Bombyx mori: one gene and its partners. The protein of the gene in region 1 purifies or fractionates together with the protein of each later gene. This does not show direct contact. Links are inferred from orthologs where the notes say so. Each region holds a gene or a part of one and is shown on either strand. Other genes may lie near its edges.

Region 1 (4,066 bases):
TTTTTTTTTTTTTGTCAATGCATTATCGATTGCACCTAAATTCATGCCATCTGCCGTGTACTTTTGTCAGTTTTTCAATGTTTTTATTGATGATCACTTTGTTATTGCAACTAAATAAAATAATTGATTAAAATCAAGGAGTGCAAGCTCTAGCTAATTTCTGGGTAAATAGGGATAGCACCTATTTTTGCTTTCTTAGCTTAAACTCGAATGCTAATTGCATAGCTTTAAATTGGATAACAAAGATACCCCCAAGACTCAATCATTTTGATCCTGATATAGCATTTTAAACATCAACAACTACCTTAAAATTGTTCATCAAGTTGGAATTTGTCCCTAACCACCCCGTTTTACCAGTACATACTGTTCTATGGATTTTTCTATAATTTCTACGGACTTTTTGGCGGGAATGCGAGGAGTGAAGTTGTGTGATTTGTTTTATTTTGTCTATTTAGTGTTTCTTCGGGTTTAAATGTGTAATAATGGTGGTTTATTAACCGTTTAATATCTGTGAAAGTGCACAAATGTGGGAAAATGAAACAAAGCCGCTGGACGTAACTTCTCGGGATCCTCCAAAAAGTCCATTGAAAAAATCTTAGTAAATGACCACCATTTTACTGAGATTAGATTTCATCTCATATCATCTCATTTAATTTCATCCCAGTTGATTAATGTCTCAAATTAATCATTTTCATTTCATTTCACTCCATAATATCATTTTTCATAAAATTAAGAATATACATTAAAATAAGATATGACTTAAAGGTCTCAGTTACCAGGTCATAAAATCTCTAAAAATATAATTTCTACAGGACTTTTTGGCGGGAACGCGAGGAGTGAAGTTGTGTGATTTATTTTATTTTGTCTATTTAATGTTTTTTCGGGTTTAAATGTGTAATAATGGTGGTTTATTAACTGTTTAATATCTTTCATTTTCCCTCATAATATAAATGAGGGAAAATAAAAGAAAGCCGCTGGACGTAACTTCTCAGGATCCTCCAAAAAGTCCACGGAAAAAGTCTTAGTAAATGACCACCATTTTACTGAGATTATATTTCATCCCATATCATCTCATTTCATTTCATTTAATTTCATCCCAGTTGATTGATGTCAATGTCAAATTAATCATCTTCATTTCATTTCACTTCATAATATCATTTTTCATAAAAATATGAATATAAATTAAAATAAGACATGCCTTAAAGGTCTCAGTTACCAGGTCATAAAATCCCTTAAAAACTAAATAATTTCTACACAATCTGTAATTGACAACTGATCTGTATTAACATAGATAATATCTATGCATAGATTATACACTTAATATTATCTATGAACTGATCGTGGTCGGCAAATGACGCTATCGGATTTCGAAGACGACATTGTTTTACTAAGGTTTTACATTCATGAAACGTAAATAAAAACATAGTAGGTTGAAAATGTAAGTGTTTCCTCAACTTATTCTATAAAAATTCTACTATTGTACATTTAGAGAGGCCCGTTAACATGTTTCATTTCAATACCAGGGCTAGAAATAAATCGCCTTTGCCTGCAGCTGAGAAAGAGAAGAAGAAACCCAAAGAAAGCAAGAAAAAGAAAGGTGACTCAGGCTCCAGCAGCAGTGATAGTAGTGGAAGGTATCCCAACTAATGTATTATTAAGATTTGTAACACAATTCTTTGGAGGTTATGTTAAAAGCGGGCTTTCTTTCTTCAACGGAAGTTATAATAAGAAATAGTCAACTTACTATACACTACTAGAAAAACCAAATAGATACAAAAAACCCACGCAAATTGTTAATATCTTGCTGAAGTGATTATTGGTACAAACTAAATAATGAAAGTACATAAGCCTTATCCTGGGAGTTACTTTCTCAACCAATATAATTTAAATCTATTTTCAGTTCATCAAGTAGTTCTTCAAGGTCATCCTCTCGGTCATCATCCAGTAGCTCAGGAAGTTCATCACGTTCATCTTCATCATCCAGCTCATCTAGCAGTAGCAGCAGTAACAATGGCCGTTCAAGGCCTAAGAAAAAGTAAGCTTAAAATTATAAGATAAGGATTAATATAATTATTATTAAACAATCTGCAATTTCTTAAGCCAAAGCGAAGTTTTTATTCAGTACTAGCTGAACCGGCAGACATCGTAAACCAAAATTAGCCAAATCAGTCCAACTGTTCTCGAGTTTTAGCGAGACTAACGAACACCAATTCATTATAGATGTTCATATTTTGTTAAATTTTGATAATATTATGGGGGGCACTCCATACAATCCTGCAATAAGGTTGAAGGTCAGATAGATCTTTAATAAGTTACAGTATATGCTGAGTAGACCATCAAAATGTAGAGCAAATCAGGTTTTTAGAAAAAGCCATCTGCTTTATATGTTAGCTAAATATGTTATGATACATTCTGTACTGAAGGAATAGGGCGTAGTTATAGTTCTTCAATCTCATGTTTCGAGGTGAATGACTGCATCAATATTGTGATATGTAAGGGCTCCATTAACACTAGATGGCCACAATCCTATCCACATCTAATGGAAAAATATTGCACTGGTAGGTTGTTATTGAAACAATCAATAACAATATTGAACAGTAGGTATTTAAACAGTACTTAATTTAACTAAAACAATATTTAATTTTCTATAATTTAGTAGAAATCTGAAAGTGATTACTCCTAAGCCCATAATAGGTCTTCTTTTTTCTACAATATGATATCTGATTCAGGAAATATAATATTCATGTAATAACCTGATATATGAGTCGTCTATTATCAAAGGCGGCAATCTGTGCATTTGGACAAAAAAAAATTATTGATATGTCAATACAGATTGATTTGAATATAATCGTCTTCTTCAAAGAATACGGTTCAAAACCTGCATTAAATAAAGGTTAATACTTAACCTGTTATTTATCTAAGATGTCGATCGGAAGAGTTTTGTGACTGCCAATGGAATACAAAGTCAATAATTTGTTTTCTGATTTACCAATAATTATCCAAAAGTCACATTGCCGGCTTTGATAATAGTTGACTCATATATAGTTTTCTTTATAATGCAGGGACGGAAAGCCACAAGTAAATTATTAATTTATTTCATGATCATTACAGTACTAATTAAAAGAGAAAAAAATACAATCAGAATTGAAACACTATTTGATAAAATAATAATTTGAAGTCAATGAAATTGATCAAAGCTTTTAAAATGTTTTTTTTTTATGTTTGGGCATCATGCATGTTAAGATTGCTAACCTGACCATACATTTTCTTTATTTTTAGAACAATTTCACCAAACAAGAGTCCACTTAAAGATCGTCGTGATGCTGATCGGGAGAAGATTAGAGATAGATCACCAACAGGAGAAAAAAAAAAATCTGTGTTACCTTTATCAAATGACAAAGCTAAAATTAAGGAAAAACAGGAACGGTACAAAACAGTTATTATTTTAAATTATAGCCTTAATACGCCATATTATGGCCCCTGGTAAAATAATAATAAGAATTTCTTTTTTTCTCTTCAGATCTCCAGGACGTAAGAAGCGAGAACGCTCACCACCACCACGACCAACTCGTATCCACATTGGACGACTGACTTTAAATGTAACGCGTGATCACATCCATGAAATATTTTCGACATATGGTACTGTGAAATCAATTGAGTTTCCTATGGACCGACTTCACCCACATAATGGAAGAGGATACGCATATGTTGAGTTTAATAATGCTGATGAAGCAGAAAATGCTATGAAGCACATGGACGGGGGTAACCAACTTAACACTTATCTTTTAACTTTAACCCTTAATATTTTTCTCCCTGTAGGGAAGTTTAATATTAAGTATGTGTTGGGGATGCACTGGAACAAATTCTCTATTTTATGTCTGCAAATTCAAATCTTTACCATGGAGCTTTTGTTGATTTTAATTCTTTATTGGTCACCAAAAAAATTCAGTCTGACTTGCACAAACCGGTAAAGATGTGACGAAAATTAGCATGGCATGGTCGCAAACGGACTACATGGCGGCAGGAGATAACAAATGTCTCCCAGATTCTAGACCTTGGCCCAAGA
Region 2 (3,500 bases), on another chromosome or scaffold:
TCCGTGGTTGTAGGCTATCGATCGCCTCCTTGACCTCGGAAGTGGTAATGGGGGGTAACGCGTCCGAGGGCGGCAGGGAAGCTCTGCGCTCGACCTCCCTGTCGACGAACTCGGTGTGTTCGGGGTCCGCGTGTTGAGTGCTGGTGGTGCACTGCTCTTGCAGTGCATCGGCCAGCAACTCTGCCTTGTCATCGTCATCGTAAGCCGGTGGTTGGCCTGAGGGGCGTACGAGAGGCGGCATAGTGGCTATAGTTTCGGACTTGAGGGTCCTAGCTAGTTGCCAGTATGCTTGGTGAGTGTGCGCGAGTTCTTCTAAATAACTATCCCAGTTTTCGTTTCGGGCGTCGCTTAAGCGGGATTTGACCTCCCGCTGTAAGCGACGCATCCGAGTCCGGTTTGAATCCGTGGGATATCGATCGTAGGCCCGGATTGCCGCGTTTCTAATTCTAACGAGGTCCCTAAGTTCGGGGGAAAGTCTGATGCGGTGGAAGCAGTCCTCCACATCGACTTGTTTCGAGGATCTTATGATCGCCGTCGAGACGTGATCAGTGAAGATGTTTATGGATTCGACGGTATCCTCGGGGGATGGAGTTGAATCCGGGCCGCAAGGGAGGATTGGTGGAGCGGTGTCAGCTAAGCACGTGCCCAGCTTCTTCCAATCCACCATGGTCCTCGTATCTGGTTCGCGGTTGAGTGGGCGACCGAGCTGCATGACGACAGGTCGGTGGTCTGAGTCGAGTTCTGACATTGCCTCGATGGAGCGTAAGCGCAGAGTTACGTTCCTCAGTAGTGCCAGATCTATTGTGCTCGGACGACGCGCGGCGTTGTACGGATAGCACGTGGGGGTCGGGGGGTTGAATACTTCGAATGTGAGGTTGTCTATGAACGCGTCGAGACGCCTACCGTTCACATTCGTGCGATGGCAGTTCCACCTAGTGTGGTGGCAATTTAAATCGCCTGCCAGGATGACCGCGTCCCCCATACCGAACAGTGTCTCGAGGTCACTGCTCAGGAGGGGTTTGTCAGGGGGGAGATAAACGGATGCGATGACGATCGGCTGGTGTCCCGTCAGCGCGATGCGGCACACTGACGCCTCGATATGTAAGAGCGAGGGAGTATCGAGAGGGACGCAGTGCAGGGCCCTCCTATAGTAAATGACAGTCCCGCCCTTGCGGGCGGAGAGTCTGTCATTCCTAACCATGACGTAATTCGCGACTTTGGGGTCGCGACGCGAGGGCTTTAGGAAGGTCTCCTGCACCAGAAGGATGTCGATGAGATTATCGCGGAGAAACTCATATACTTGATCGCGCTGACGCGCGAGTCCGTTAGCATTATAAAATGCTAACTTTATGGAACGCGGTTTTTCCCTACTGTTGCACGCCATTGATTACCGGTAATCAAACCAGCGTGCGCTGGACGGACTCGATGACGTCGATGTACTCGAACGTCGCGTTTAGGCGGTCTTCGGCCGTGACCGCTCTGCGCATGGCGTCGGCGAACGCACGCATGCGGTCGATGTTTATCGCGGCGATGTAGTCGCGAATAATTGTAAAATCGTTTGAGTGCGCGGGGCCGGGGCGAGGCGCGGGACCGGGCGCGGGCGCGGGGGCGGGGCGCGGCGCGAGTAGAGGTTGCGGCGCGTACCGCGGTTGGGGTGCCGGTGTCGTTCCTGCCTTCGTGAACGGCAACGGTTTCGCCCACGCGGAGACGGTGGGCACCGGAGCCGGTACGAAAGCCGGTTTCGGCGCGCGGGGCGCCGAAGTCTTTGGGCCAGCGGTTTTAGGGGGCGCGTTTGCCGGGCGCTTCCGTGGAGCCTTGGGGCATCCACGGTAGTTGGCCGTGTGTCCCTGCTTGCGGCAGAGTACACAGCTCGGCGGCTCCGTCGCTGTCTCCTTCACGCGCGAGCAATCGGTGGTCGCGTGATCGTCTAAACATTTCACGCAACGCGGTCGCGCGTTGCAGTTACGCGCGGAGTGGCCATATAACTGGCAACGGTGGCACTGCCCGGGAGTGCCGCGTTTGTAGGGGGCCTCTACGGTGACCCCCGATAGGCCGCACACGGTGCGGAGACATGAGGCAATTTTCTTGCCCTCCGGTGTGGCTTCTAGTGCTAATTGATTTCAAGATTGGAGCGAAATGTAAGTATTTAAATATTCTATTGTTCCTTTTCATCACCTATGTTACCATGTTTGACATAGACATTTCTTATTTTCACTATGCTTTTAGTTTGTTAAAAGTAAATGGATCTAATATTAGGAGAGAGGAGTGAGTCTTACAATCAATGATTTCTAATGTAAGCATTTTTTTTATACAAGCCTTTCTTTAATTTAGCTTGTTTCTGTATATTGGAAAAAAAAACAATAAACATACTTATTGGAAACATTTGGTGGTTGTATTTCTTCAGTTTCTACTTCTTGAACTACAGATGGGTCCTCATTGTCACTTAATTCATCCTCCTTCAAATCTTCATCTAACATTTCTTCTGTTACCGTTTCAGTTTTGCTTTTCACAGTCTGCTTTTATAATGTACATTTTAATTTATAATGTGGTTCCCATTTACAATACCGCCAATTATATTGGCAATGATAAATATTTCAAATACGTAAAATAAATAAATTTATACAGATACATAAAATTGGAGTGTCTGTTTGTAATATTGAAATAACCACTTACTACATGCATATGAATATATATATATATGGTACACACACCAAAATAACATTTTTTACAGTTTTTGTCTGTCTGTCTGTCTGTCTGTTCCAGCTAATCTCTGGAACGGCTGGGCCGATTTTGACGAGACTTTCACTGATAGGTAGCTGATGATATAACGAGTAACTTAGGCTACTTTTTTTAGACTAGCTTTACCCCGCGGCGTTACCCGCGGTAAGACAATAACCGCGGTTAACATGGCGGGACTCGCCTATCAATAATAAAATTTAATGTTTCCGAAGCGAAGCGAGGGCGGGTCGCTAGTATAAAGTACGATTTTTCTGATAACACAGGCACACACGACGCTTCTTATGTGCCTGCACACGTAAGTATCACCACCGGAGTTATTTCTGCAGTAATGCGTTCCAGTTTGCAGGGTGGCCCCACCCGTTTTTATAGAATTGAGACCTTAAAGTGCATGTTAATTCACTTAATGATACCTATGACCTCTGATAATCACTTAGCGGCTGGTAGGCTGTGAGCTCAGTCAACCAACTGTGATATTAATGAAAAAATAATAATTTATATGAATATTTTTTACCTCTTTCATTTGATAGTTAGGCATAAAAACTTTTAAGTCAGGCAAGCATGTATAGAATGTTCTAGAATCTTCGTCCTGCCAAGGATCAGTACCGGCTTGCATAGTGATGTCTTCATTGCCACCAATGGTTACACTTCCTTGAGTCTCTATAACAGTCAGGGACAAAGTGGGAGGTTCACCAGCTTCACCCAAATCTTCTCCAAGAACTTCAGCAAAATTTTGTGCATTTACTAGTAGCTTGTCATAAGTT
Region 3 (3,375 bases), on another chromosome or scaffold:
TTTTACAATAACCTTACACAGTGCTACTAATAACATTTTAAGTTTCTATTTATAAATAACAATAAAAAAGGATGAGTCTAAATGAAATATTCATCAATGTAACACGCAATTCCTTATGATCAGCATTAAAATTTATGTTCACACGATTTTGATTATTACTAATGTTTGCCCAAGGATTGAAACTTGACCATAGTCACTGAGGCCTCAAAATTTAAATAAGGTATTAAATTTTTGTTGTGTTTTTCATAAACTGTTAATATTAATGTTATATTTAGATTATGAAAGAAGAAAACATATTAAAGATGCAATAATTTGTAAAAAAAACGTGCACTGTTTTTCGATTTCTTAAACGAATGCTGTACTGGTATATGTAAGTAAGCAAAGTAATCGTATCATAAAAGGTATTCATTACATAGATATTAAAACTGAAAATCGGGTAAGAAACGGTTAAACAATTTATTGTGTTTATAAGGCAACCAAATGATTAAAATTAAGACACAAAAAAATAAATAAAAGACAAATAAAGAAATAGTTTATTTGGGAGTGGCGTATGTATGATCAGGCTACACGTCCTATGTTGTAATAAAATACAAAGATACTTCTTCACTAGAACTGACAGTAAAGTTTTCTTATAATTGCAAGTGGGGTCTCAGTTTCGGAAAATAATTTTTAACCACTTAAATAATATAAATCGACGACATTGATGAATATTTAAATTTATGAAATTTAACCTTTTATTGAAGTGCTTATGTTACAAATGAATTGAAAAACAGTTTTTTTTGTAGCATACGAACCAATGAATGTATTTTGATTAGAAACCGTATTTATATGTAGATAATCTGTTTTAAATTTGTAAGGCATCGTGCTTAACGATTCCGTATGATTGAATGCGAGTACGGAACTATTACAGGTCTCGAGACCGTCGCCGCTCCCGTTCACGTCGCAGGTCGCGGTCGAGGCGTCGCTCAGGACGCAGGTCACGCGACCGACGCTCACGTGATCGCCGCTCCAAAGACCGCCGCTCACGAGATAAGTCCAGGTAAACTATTCCTAATTTTAGTCGCAATACCTTCATTTTAAATTCTAACAAATTACTTGAATGAACTTCCTGTAAAGTATCAAAAAAGGTTGAACTAATTTTATTTGCTTTTTCTACAGAGAGCGGAAATCGCGCGATCGCTCCAGGAGATCCAGGGACAGGAAATCTCGCGATAGAAGGTCTAGCGATATTATCAAGGAGCGTTTAGAGAAATCTGTCTCGATTCCGAGAAAAGGTAATATATATGTTATTTTAGATATAGTGATAAACCCAAATAACATTTATTACTTAAAATAAGAAATGTTCATAATATATTAATTTAATTTTTTTTTTTTATAGAAAATAATGACAAATTACCCAAAAAGCCTGAGCACCTGCCTATTCCGCGTGAGCAATCTAAAGAGCGCATTATATCTAGCACAAGCCGAGAATCATCAGTAGCTGTTGAAAAACCCCCACCAGAACCTTTTAATGACGGAAAAACCCAGTCAGACCACACTGACGACGAAGAGAAAGAAGATATTGTAAATATTCCAAACCTGCGTGAATACTCAAAAAGTCTTTCACGCACTCCATCACCGTTCTTGCGAAGACATGAAATTGACAAAAATAAGAAATCTGATGAAGTTTCGGGAAAAGAGCAGAATGAGGACGAAATAAAAACCAAGGAATCCAAAAGAGCTAAACGTAAAGCCCATCAATCAGATTCTGAAAGTGCGAGTAGCGAGGAGCTATCGAAATCCAAAAGTAAGTCCAAAATCAAGCGTAAGGAGAAGGGTACATCTAAGAGAAATAAGAAACTCAAAAAAGAGAGCTCTTCTAGCGATAGCGATTCTGAGGAATCTTCTTCTAGTGAATCTGAAGAAGATAGGAAGAAGAAAAGCAAAAAGAATGCTAAAAAGAAGTTGGCCAAGAAATCAAGAAAGAAAAGAGCTCGCTCGTCGAGCTCCGACTCCAGTTCGGAAGAAGAAGTTAAACACAAGGCTTCAAAGACAAAACAAAAAAATGTCGTCGACGAATCTGATGTTGATAAGAAGTCTAAAAAACGCGCCAAGGATGCGAGTAGCGAAAGGTCAAGGTCTGAGAAAGTTGAAAACAAGCTCAAGTCCAAAAAAGTCGATTCTGAGGATTCCCAAGATGATAGTTCGGATACTGATGCAAAATCTAAGAAGAAAAACCCTAAACGTGATACTTCTAGTTCAGAAAAAGACCCAAAACGCGGTAAAAAAACTGACTCTATTAAGGAAAAAGCCTTATCACCAGAAGTTGCTAAATTAAAGAAAGTAGAGGATAAACCAGCAAAAGTGAAAGTAGACGATGCTAAACCTAAATCTCGTGACGAAAACGAGAAAAAACCTAAAAAGAGGGAAAAGGAAGAGTCCTCTTCTGAAAGTGACCAGGTGTCAAAGAAGAAAGCAAGGAAGAAGGTAACAGACTCAGAGTCAGATTCAGACAGTGATGAACCTAAGAAATCCAAGAAAAATAAGAAACATAAGAAGCATTCTAAAAAGCATAAGAAACACAAGAAGCATAAGAAATCATCAAAGAAAAAAGAGGATTCTTCTGATAGCGATGAAGCCGAGGAAGAAGAGGAAGAAGGAAAAGTTAATAACGAAGATTTGGAAAAGAAACTGAGAGAGAGAGCATTGAAGTCGATGAAGAAACAAACTAGTGTTTCTGGATCCGATTAGTGTTCGGTTTTTTTTCTATTTGACTTCTAAGAAAAATTTCATTGAACGTACAGCATGTTATTAAAATATTTTAATGAATTTGCTGAAACGATTTTAATTAACATATATTTCATATTGTTAGTAATAATAAATAAAATAATACGAATTCGTTTTATTTATTTAATATAATATATGTAAATACATTAGAGCATCTAATTTTTAATCCCAAATTAACTATCCCTTGCACCTAACCTTTGCAAGCCACTTGTGGTAATTTATATTCATATCTCTTTTGACCTTGGTAACATGATTGGGGGATAAAGACTAAAATACTATCTAATTGGTGTGTTGTGTTTGTACCGTCATCGAACTCCTATTGCTATAAAACTATTTAAACTTTGTAGCCATGTAGTCCCTTGTCCTTGTATTCCTTGATTTATCAGTCCATCAAGATCAAATAGTAGCCATTTATTAAGATATGTAAAAAAATAGAAATCGTAAATATTGGTTGGTGGCTGCGATGAGACGTGGCGGGAGATGCGCCAATCTCGCTAGGTTACAATCTTGCAGAAGTAGATGGAGGGGCCTGACACAGGGTTCTTTTGCGCATCAACCCGTTTCTATCGAGTCATCTATCAAGTCACGATTCTTCCCAATCTTGACTGC
Region 4 (3,500 bases), on another chromosome or scaffold:
GTACTGCGAAGTGATCACGCTTTCTAGTTTGAATGGTGTTTTAATTATTAAACAATATAAATGGGACGCACAATTTTACTCGCAAAAGTTATAATTTGCGTAATTACTGGTGGTAGGATGTCTTGTGAGTCCGCGCGCTACCCAGGTACCACCACCTATTTCTGCCGTAAAGCAGTAATGCGTTTCGGATTGAAGGTCGGAGCAGGCGTTGTAAATATACTGAGAGCTTAGATCTTATATCTCAAGGTGGGTGGCGCAATTACGTTGTAGATGCCTATGGACTCAAGTAACTACGTAACACCAGGTGGGCTGTGAGTTCGTCCACCCATCTAAGCAATAAAAAGCGGTAACGCGAGCAGCGAATTTCATGAGGCGGTCCTATGTCCAATGCGTGAGGACATTGGACCGTAAAGGGTTTGCTGTAATGTTTCTTGAGGTCCAAACATGTGATAACAGTGGTTCATCAGCCATTTGATGTCTGTGCTGGGTCGCGTTTCCGATCCGGTGGTAGATTCTGCGAAGCACTGCTCTTGCTAGGGTTCGTGTTAGCAACATCGTCAGGTTTGAGCCCCGTGAGCTCACCCACATGTTAGGGCGAAGCTGAAATAGCCTCTCAAGGCTATCAACATAGGTAGGAAAAACAACACCTTTCTTGCTTCACGGCAGAAACAGGGGGTGGTACCTACCCGCGCGGACTCACAAGACGTCCTGCCACCAGTAAAAGGCTGAAAGTTCAGTTGACAAAAGACCTACCGAGCAAAGTTCTGGATCTTCTTCGGCATAGTGGCGCTGAACAGTAACGTCTGTCTCTGCCCGGCGAAGTAAGAGAATATCGTTCGCACGTCCTCTTCGAAGCCCATGTCGATCATGCGATCAGCTTCGTCCATGCAGAGGTACCGGCAGACGTTGAGCCGGACCTGGACGTAAACGGATAATTGGGAACCAAACACGCACGGATATCCGGCCCTCAAATTCAGGGTTCCCTGTGTTTTATCGGTACCGGAGACTGATGTATTTATTTATTTATTACACTTAATGTAAATTTTTGATTGGCAGACTTAATACCTAAGGCCTTATCTACTGGTCAACCAAAGGGAGTGCAGAGTAAATAGTGGTAGGTGCAATGAAATTTATATTAAATTACAAATACATACACATATACTTACATACATACATAGTTACATAAATACATATATCTATATATTAATACGTGAAGCAAAAACTTTGTAACCCTTTTTACGAAAATTGCGCGGTCGGACAAGTATGATATTTTCCACGCTTATAGAGAATATAGAGAAGGAATGCACAATGATAATATTTTTTTTTAATTTTGCATAAAAAATAGATGAAGTCAATTAAAAAAAAACATTAAACACACTACCATGTATTTGACACAAAACGCTTTGTTTATTATCAAACTTTTCTTATTATTTAAATTCTGTGATCAAATTGAGAATAAATTAATATTGTTTATCTTTAATATTATTTGTCTATAGCGACTCTTGGCGAAATCTATGATTATAGAAGCATAAATAGTCTTTGACAATAGAACCAATAACAATAATGTTCAAACTTATAATTTCAATTAAATATACTCGAATTTGGACTACCGAAGCACCACTAGTACGTTTAAATATATACATATATATAGATTATAAATAAAGAGCAAAAAAATTTGTTTATCACATAAATATTTGCCTGAAGCGGAAATCGAACCTGCGAACCTCGGCACAGCAGTCATGGGTGTTAACTGCTGCTCCACCGGATCAGTCAAAATTAAGTTCTATCCTGATCGACTTGGGGGAGGGTGATGGGAGAGATGTGCTCCGCACTAAGCGCTTCACTCTCCCCTTTGCCTTTTCATGAGTTCTGTCTCATGCGAGGCACGGACGTGGGTTGTTGAGCGACAGGAGGTTTAAGTCGGTTTGACTCCAACATGCCCCACCCGCCATCCCCCGTGGAGGGTGGGAGTCCAGCGACTTCCTCGTGATAAAAAAAAAAAGAAAATCCTGATCGTCTTACCATCTTTTTATCCAGCATATCCATCAGCCTCCCCGGCGTTGCCACCATGATGTGAACGCCTTTCTGGACCACCTCCATGCATTCGGAGACGGCTACGCCTACCATCGAAAATTCCTAACTTAAGATACTAAATCAGGGCATTCTTTTTAATAGCATAGCTTTGAGCGCGGCGACCGAATCAAGAAATTCTGTAACGAAAATAAAACCTAACACCCCCACTCCGCCTACATGTAGCTCGCGTTCAACACATTCACACGTTTTTTTATTTTATTTTATTGCTTAGATGTGTGGACGAGCTCACAGCCCACCTGGTGTTAAGTGGTTACTGGAGCCCATAGACATCTACAACGTAAATGCGCCACCCACCTTGAGATATAAGTTGTAAGGTCTCAGTATAGTTACAACGGCTGCCCCACCCTTCAAACCGAAACGCATTACTGCTTCACGGCAGAAATAGACAGGGCGGTGGTACCTACCCGCGCGGACTCACAACAGGTCCTACCACCAGTAATTACGCAAATTATAATTTTGCGGGTTTCACTTTTATTACACGATATTATTCCTTCACCGTGGAAGTCAATCGTGAACATTTGTTGAGTACGTATTTCATTAGAAAAATTGGTACCCGCCTGCGGGATTCGAACACCGGTGCATCGCTTCAACACGAATGTACCGGGTGTCTTATCCGTTAGACCACGACGACTTGCGTTGCGCCTGTGTAGTGTTTGTGAATAAGCGCGCGGCGTGACGTCACACTGCGTGCGCATCATGAAAAGTCTGCCCATCTCTCTCTCTCGCGCGCTCTAGCTTATGAGTGTGAAGGGGACAGTTAATGTTTTGCTTTTGTTAATGTTTATAAATATAGCGTGGTCTTATTTTATTAGTGAGATATAAGTTCTAAGGTCTCCAATATGATTACAGCTATTGGGGCGCGGTACCTCCGATGGCGAGGCAGCTGCGGATCTCGGGGCTCCCGGTTAGCTTGAGGTGCCTGATGAAGTGTTGTATTATGTCGTGGGTCTGCTTGGCGAGCTCGCGCGAGGGACAGATGATCAGGCCGTAGGGACCCTCATTCCTAGAAGGAACAATTAGTGTTTCAGAACTCCTGAGACAACTGGTAGGCATATTGACTATTGGGCTCTCGAGAAGTCGGGAGAGTAAGCACTGATGGTAGGACGTCTTCTGAGTCCGCGCGGGTAGGTATCACCGCTCTGCCTATTTCTGCCGTGAAGCAGTTTGAAGGGTGGGGCAGCCGTTGTAACTATATTGAGACTTTAGAACTCATGTCTCAAGGTGGGTGGCGTATTTACGTTGTACATGTCTATGGCCTCCAGTACCCATTTCACATTAGATGGGCTGTGAGCTCGTCCATCCATCAAAGCAATAAATAAAAATACACACACACACACAAAAGTGTATGTATCTGATGCAGGAAAAATTATTAAGATATTTAATTCATGAACTAATCGATTAAAAAC
Region 5 (3,500 bases), on another chromosome or scaffold:
ACAGGGCTGCTTTGTCATCTCGGGTGCTGCCGAACCCACGCCGTCGCCCCAAACTCGCAGCGCAAGAACGACCACGGTGTGTACTCACACCCCCGAGACCGCCTGTGTGCAGGTATCGGACAAAGCCTAGCTTACATCAGGCTAGACCTCTCTACTTCTACCCATCGCCACAGGACTTTTGCTTATTCGGAGTCCATTAACGGAAGCGGTCAGATACGCAGGATATATTTAGGTGCGCAAACGTTTGCGCTCACGCAGGCGCACACCCTCGTCCTATCCCTTCTTGGATCAGTGGAACGGGAAACCGCTACGACTGAAGAAGGGGTTGGATGTTGTGTCTGGCCGACGGTGACTATATGCCCTCCACCATCGCCCTAGGCCATCCACCTTGCCTTGCTGACCTGCCGAGTCCGTCAAGTCACGTTGCATATCTGCGTTGTGTTGCCTTCCTCGCCAAGTCAGACTTTGTGTGTTAAGCGGGAGGGAGCCGCGTAAAGGGATGGGTATTAAGGAGATGAGGAGAAGAGGGAGTTAGGAGTAGGAAGGACAGGATACTGTAGCCACGGGAAAGTAGGTTGTGGTCTATAGTAGCTCAGGGAAGGCGGGATCGCGTGCCCGTGCACTCAGTAATATACTACCGGACAAATAGTATATTTGAGGGCCCCCTGCCTATGAGTTTCTAATACCGATTCAATTAACACTTTAACAGTAACTAATTTACTGGTGGTAGGACCTCTCGTGAGTCGGCGCGGGTAGGTACCACCGCCCTGCCTATTTCTGACGTGAAGCAGTAATGCGTTTCGGTCTGAAGGGTAAGGCAGCCGTTGTAACTATACTGAGATCTTAGAACTTATATCTCAAGGTGGGTGGTGCATTTAAGCTGTAGATGTCTATGGGTTCCAGTAACAATTTAACATCAGGTGGGCTGTGAGCTCGTCCACCCATCTAAGCAATAAAAAAAATAAAAAAGTTTAACTGATATCGTCGTAACTACCACAGATTATTACGCAGTCACCAGGTTAATAGTTTGTATTTTTACCTCGTTAGCGAGAGAGAACGGCTGCGCGTGCGGCGTCTTCTTGGCGACCACGGTGAACGTCGCAAGCGGCCGCGCGACATCGAACGCGACCTACAAGATTTATGTAAATTTAATTTAATTCGACTTTGACGAGACTAACTTGAAATTATATTAGCAAGCATTATTTTATTAATAAATCTTCCTTCATAAATAAACCACAACCCATTATGACTATAATGATTATCGGATACTGTACTACAAAAAAAACAAGAGAATAATAGGTAACGAGTTCGACGACCCACGTATTATGCAAATCTCAGACGAACATGCTAAGTTTAGATCTACACAAAGAAGCGACATGCAAAAAGCGATCGATTATGGACAATCTTAGGTCGGTCAGAAGTAAATCATATTATTTCATAAATCAAAAAGCATCTTATTACAAAGGCACTAAATGAACGAAACGAAATATTTCGTCTTGTGACAATGACGTTAACGAGATGTCAGTTTAAATGTTCGTTTTCGTTTAGTTCTCACGGGAGGGGAGGGAGCGATAGATGCGAGCGAACCTAGAGTACCGCGGGCGGCTGGAGGCGCGGCTGCGGGCGCGAACGCGCGGCGTGCGTGAGCGCGTGCGGGTGCGCGTGCGAGAACGGGAGCGAGAGCGAGACGGAGACAGCTCGCGGCGCCGCTCCTCCTCACGCCGCTTGGCTCGCATCTCCTTCTCGCGTATCATCCGGTTGAAAGCCTCCAGCGGATCCTCACCCGGCCTACGACAATGCGTCTGAGTTAAACAAACGCCCTTAACCGAACTCAATTCTCCATGGATTTTTAAACCAATACTTGACCATGCCCTTTTTTTAATTGTTCTAAAAATACTCTGGAGAGCCATTTCGAGAAAAACATTTTATAAAGTCGAAAATGAAACTAAAATTGATAATCTAATTTACAACGCTCCTTTTAAATCAATAAATTGCAAACTGAACACTAAAATGAAGAAAACAAAGATAAGATCCAAAATATCGAATAGAATTAAACATTGGAAATGACTTTATTTGATGTTAGATATTAACGGCCCCTTTATAAATGTAAAATATTTATATCAATAAGAAACAAAACTCAGATAGAATATCCTAAAATAAATTTACTGAAGCTAATTTGGTATATTTTATTATTGATCTGACTAATGCCACCACAACACATTGTGATTCTATAATTATGTGTAAGGGTTAAAACAGTATTTTTCCTTGGATATTAAATTTCTTTTTAAATGCAATTATATCTGCATTCCTTCAAATATAAAAAAGTGATTACATTTACCTGTTAGAAGGCGACTCTTTGATACCGGGTGGAGGTGGTTGATACGGTTCAGGAGGAAAACGCTCAACAAATCCAGGACCGGGCGGCGGACCGAATCGCGGTGGACTAGTTTCAAACGAAAAAAAACATTCATAGTTAAATCTAATTAGCGAGCAAAATCATGTCATCATGAAATTACAAGAAAATCAGTCTTACTCGTTAAAACGTTGAGGTGGTTGCGATGCTCCATGAGCGAACGGGTGAGGACCTCGATTGTACGGAATCTGCCAAAAGTAGTATTTATTTCATTTAATGATAAGAAACCTGGTACTTAACAAGTATATCATAAATTTTATAAAAAAAATTACCTGAGAAGACATTGGATCTCTTCGTTCCATTGGTTCTCTTCGTTCATCTATTGTTGGAGTGCTAGCCCTTTGTTCTTCAATTCTAGGTAACTGAAAGAAACAAATATTTACCATTCGTTTTGGAACATTCCACAACAAAAATAAAATCATACATATGTATCTAAACTTACATTGAGTGGTATGGATGAATTTGGATTTTCGACAACTGGTTTTATCATCGGTTGATGGCCTGTAACAATTTTTTAAACTATTATGTACGGAGTATTAAAATATTACATTAACATTGAACCAATAAATACCAAGACATACAGTGAGGTGAACTCTACACGCAAGTTCATGCACTAACACCATTAACATTTATTCATTATAAATTATTATTCTATGACAAGACAGATACAATGCTTTAAAATAATAATTGAAAAATGTGTTTGTAGTTTTAAATTTCATTTAAGTCTTTACTACTAGCTTTAAAAAGCTACATTAAACTGCTCAAGAAAATACTCTCGTGGTAGGGATATATTTTATGACTTGCATTTGCATTTGTTTGCTGTTTGTTTATGTTTTTTTTTTATATAACGACATTACGACTTATTTGGACCGAACAAAATTAATCTAAATTGCGCACCGTCGTAGTCCAAACGTTTTGTACGTAATGCTACAGTCATATACGCAAAGGAGACATTTTGGTAAACCGGGCTACGCTTTACGTACTGGAGTAATCCACCAATGCAGATTTACGACTGTTATATCGAATTGACAAGCAAAACTAAATAGGTAGTTTAAGTACCAATCGTCAATCTCCTCAATGTTGTCAA

What was found. Proteins that work in one complex are often made in the same cells at the same time.
Region 2: the proteins of ribonucleic acid binding protein S1 (region 1) and regulator of nonsense transcripts 2 purify together in Homo sapiens (co-immunoprecipitation; 5 studies listed by BioGRID and IntAct, with this or other methods). This does not show direct contact. The link is inferred for Bombyx mori from reciprocal best matches to the Homo sapiens genes RNPS1 and UPF2.
Region 3: the proteins of ribonucleic acid binding protein S1 (region 1) and serine/arginine repetitive matrix protein 1 purify together in Homo sapiens (co-immunoprecipitation; 4 studies listed by BioGRID and IntAct, with this or other methods). This does not show direct contact. The link is inferred for Bombyx mori from reciprocal best matches to the Homo sapiens genes RNPS1 and SRRM1.
Region 4: the proteins of ribonucleic acid binding protein S1 (region 1) and ATP-dependent RNA helicase abstrakt purify together in Homo sapiens (co-immunoprecipitation; 3 studies listed by BioGRID and IntAct, with this or other methods). This does not show direct contact. The link is inferred for Bombyx mori from reciprocal best matches to the Homo sapiens genes RNPS1 and DDX41.
Region 5: the proteins of ribonucleic acid binding protein S1 (region 1) and E3 ubiquitin-protein ligase RBBP6 purify together in Homo sapiens (co-immunoprecipitation; 3 studies listed by BioGRID and IntAct, with this or other methods). This does not show direct contact. The link is inferred for Bombyx mori from reciprocal best matches to the Homo sapiens genes RNPS1 and RBBP6.

Annotation. Positions count from the first base shown.
Region 1 is NC_085114.1:7,346,608-7,350,673, forward strand, and holds the start of ribonucleic acid binding protein S1, read left to right. Parts: upstream 1-1,266; 5' UTR 1,267-1,436; coding exon 1,437-1,438; intron 1,439-1,523; coding exon 1,524-1,634; intron 1,635-1,900; coding exon 1,901-2,035; intron 2,036-3,279; coding exon 3,280-3,426; intron 3,427-3,520; coding exon 3,521-3,762; intron 3,763-4,066. UniProt on the Homo sapiens protein: Part of pre- and post-splicing multiprotein mRNP complexes. Auxiliary component of the splicing-dependent multiprotein exon junction complex (EJC) deposited at splice junction on mRNAs.
Region 2 is NC_085110.1:14,017,255-14,020,754, forward strand, and holds part of regulator of nonsense transcripts 2, read right to left. Parts: coding exon 3,251-3,500; intron 2,517-3,250; coding exon 2,371-2,516; intron 1-2,370. UniProt on the Homo sapiens protein: Involved in nonsense-mediated decay (NMD) of mRNAs containing premature stop codons by associating with the nuclear exon junction complex (EJC).
Region 3 is NC_085128.1:8,268,453-8,271,827, forward strand, and holds the end of serine/arginine repetitive matrix protein 1, read left to right. Parts: intron 1-910; coding exon 911-1,039; intron 1,040-1,158; coding exon 1,159-1,274; intron 1,275-1,378; coding exon 1,379-2,730; 3' UTR 2,731-2,875; downstream 2,876-3,375. UniProt on the Homo sapiens protein: Part of pre- and post-splicing multiprotein mRNP complexes. As a component of the minor spliceosome, involved in the splicing of U12-type introns in pre-mRNAs. Involved in numerous pre-mRNA processing events.
Region 4 is NC_085117.1:2,828,255-2,831,754, reverse strand, and holds part of ATP-dependent RNA helicase abstrakt, read right to left. Parts: intron 3,098-3,500; coding exon 2,961-3,097; intron 2,121-2,960; coding exon 2,023-2,120; intron 918-2,022; coding exon 754-917; intron 1-753. UniProt on the Homo sapiens protein: Multifunctional protein that participates in many aspects of cellular RNA metabolism. Plays pivotal roles in innate immune sensing and hematopoietic homeostasis.
Region 5 is NC_085123.1:7,892,376-7,895,875, reverse strand, and holds part of E3 ubiquitin-protein ligase RBBP6, read right to left. Parts: intron 2,915-3,500; coding exon 2,856-2,914; intron 2,776-2,855; coding exon 2,686-2,775; intron 2,602-2,685; coding exon 2,534-2,601; intron 2,444-2,533; coding exon 2,339-2,443; intron 1,789-2,338; coding exon 1,588-1,788; intron 1,130-1,587; coding exon 1,040-1,129; intron 1-1,039. UniProt on the Homo sapiens protein: E3 ubiquitin-protein ligase which promotes ubiquitination of YBX1, leading to its degradation by the proteasome.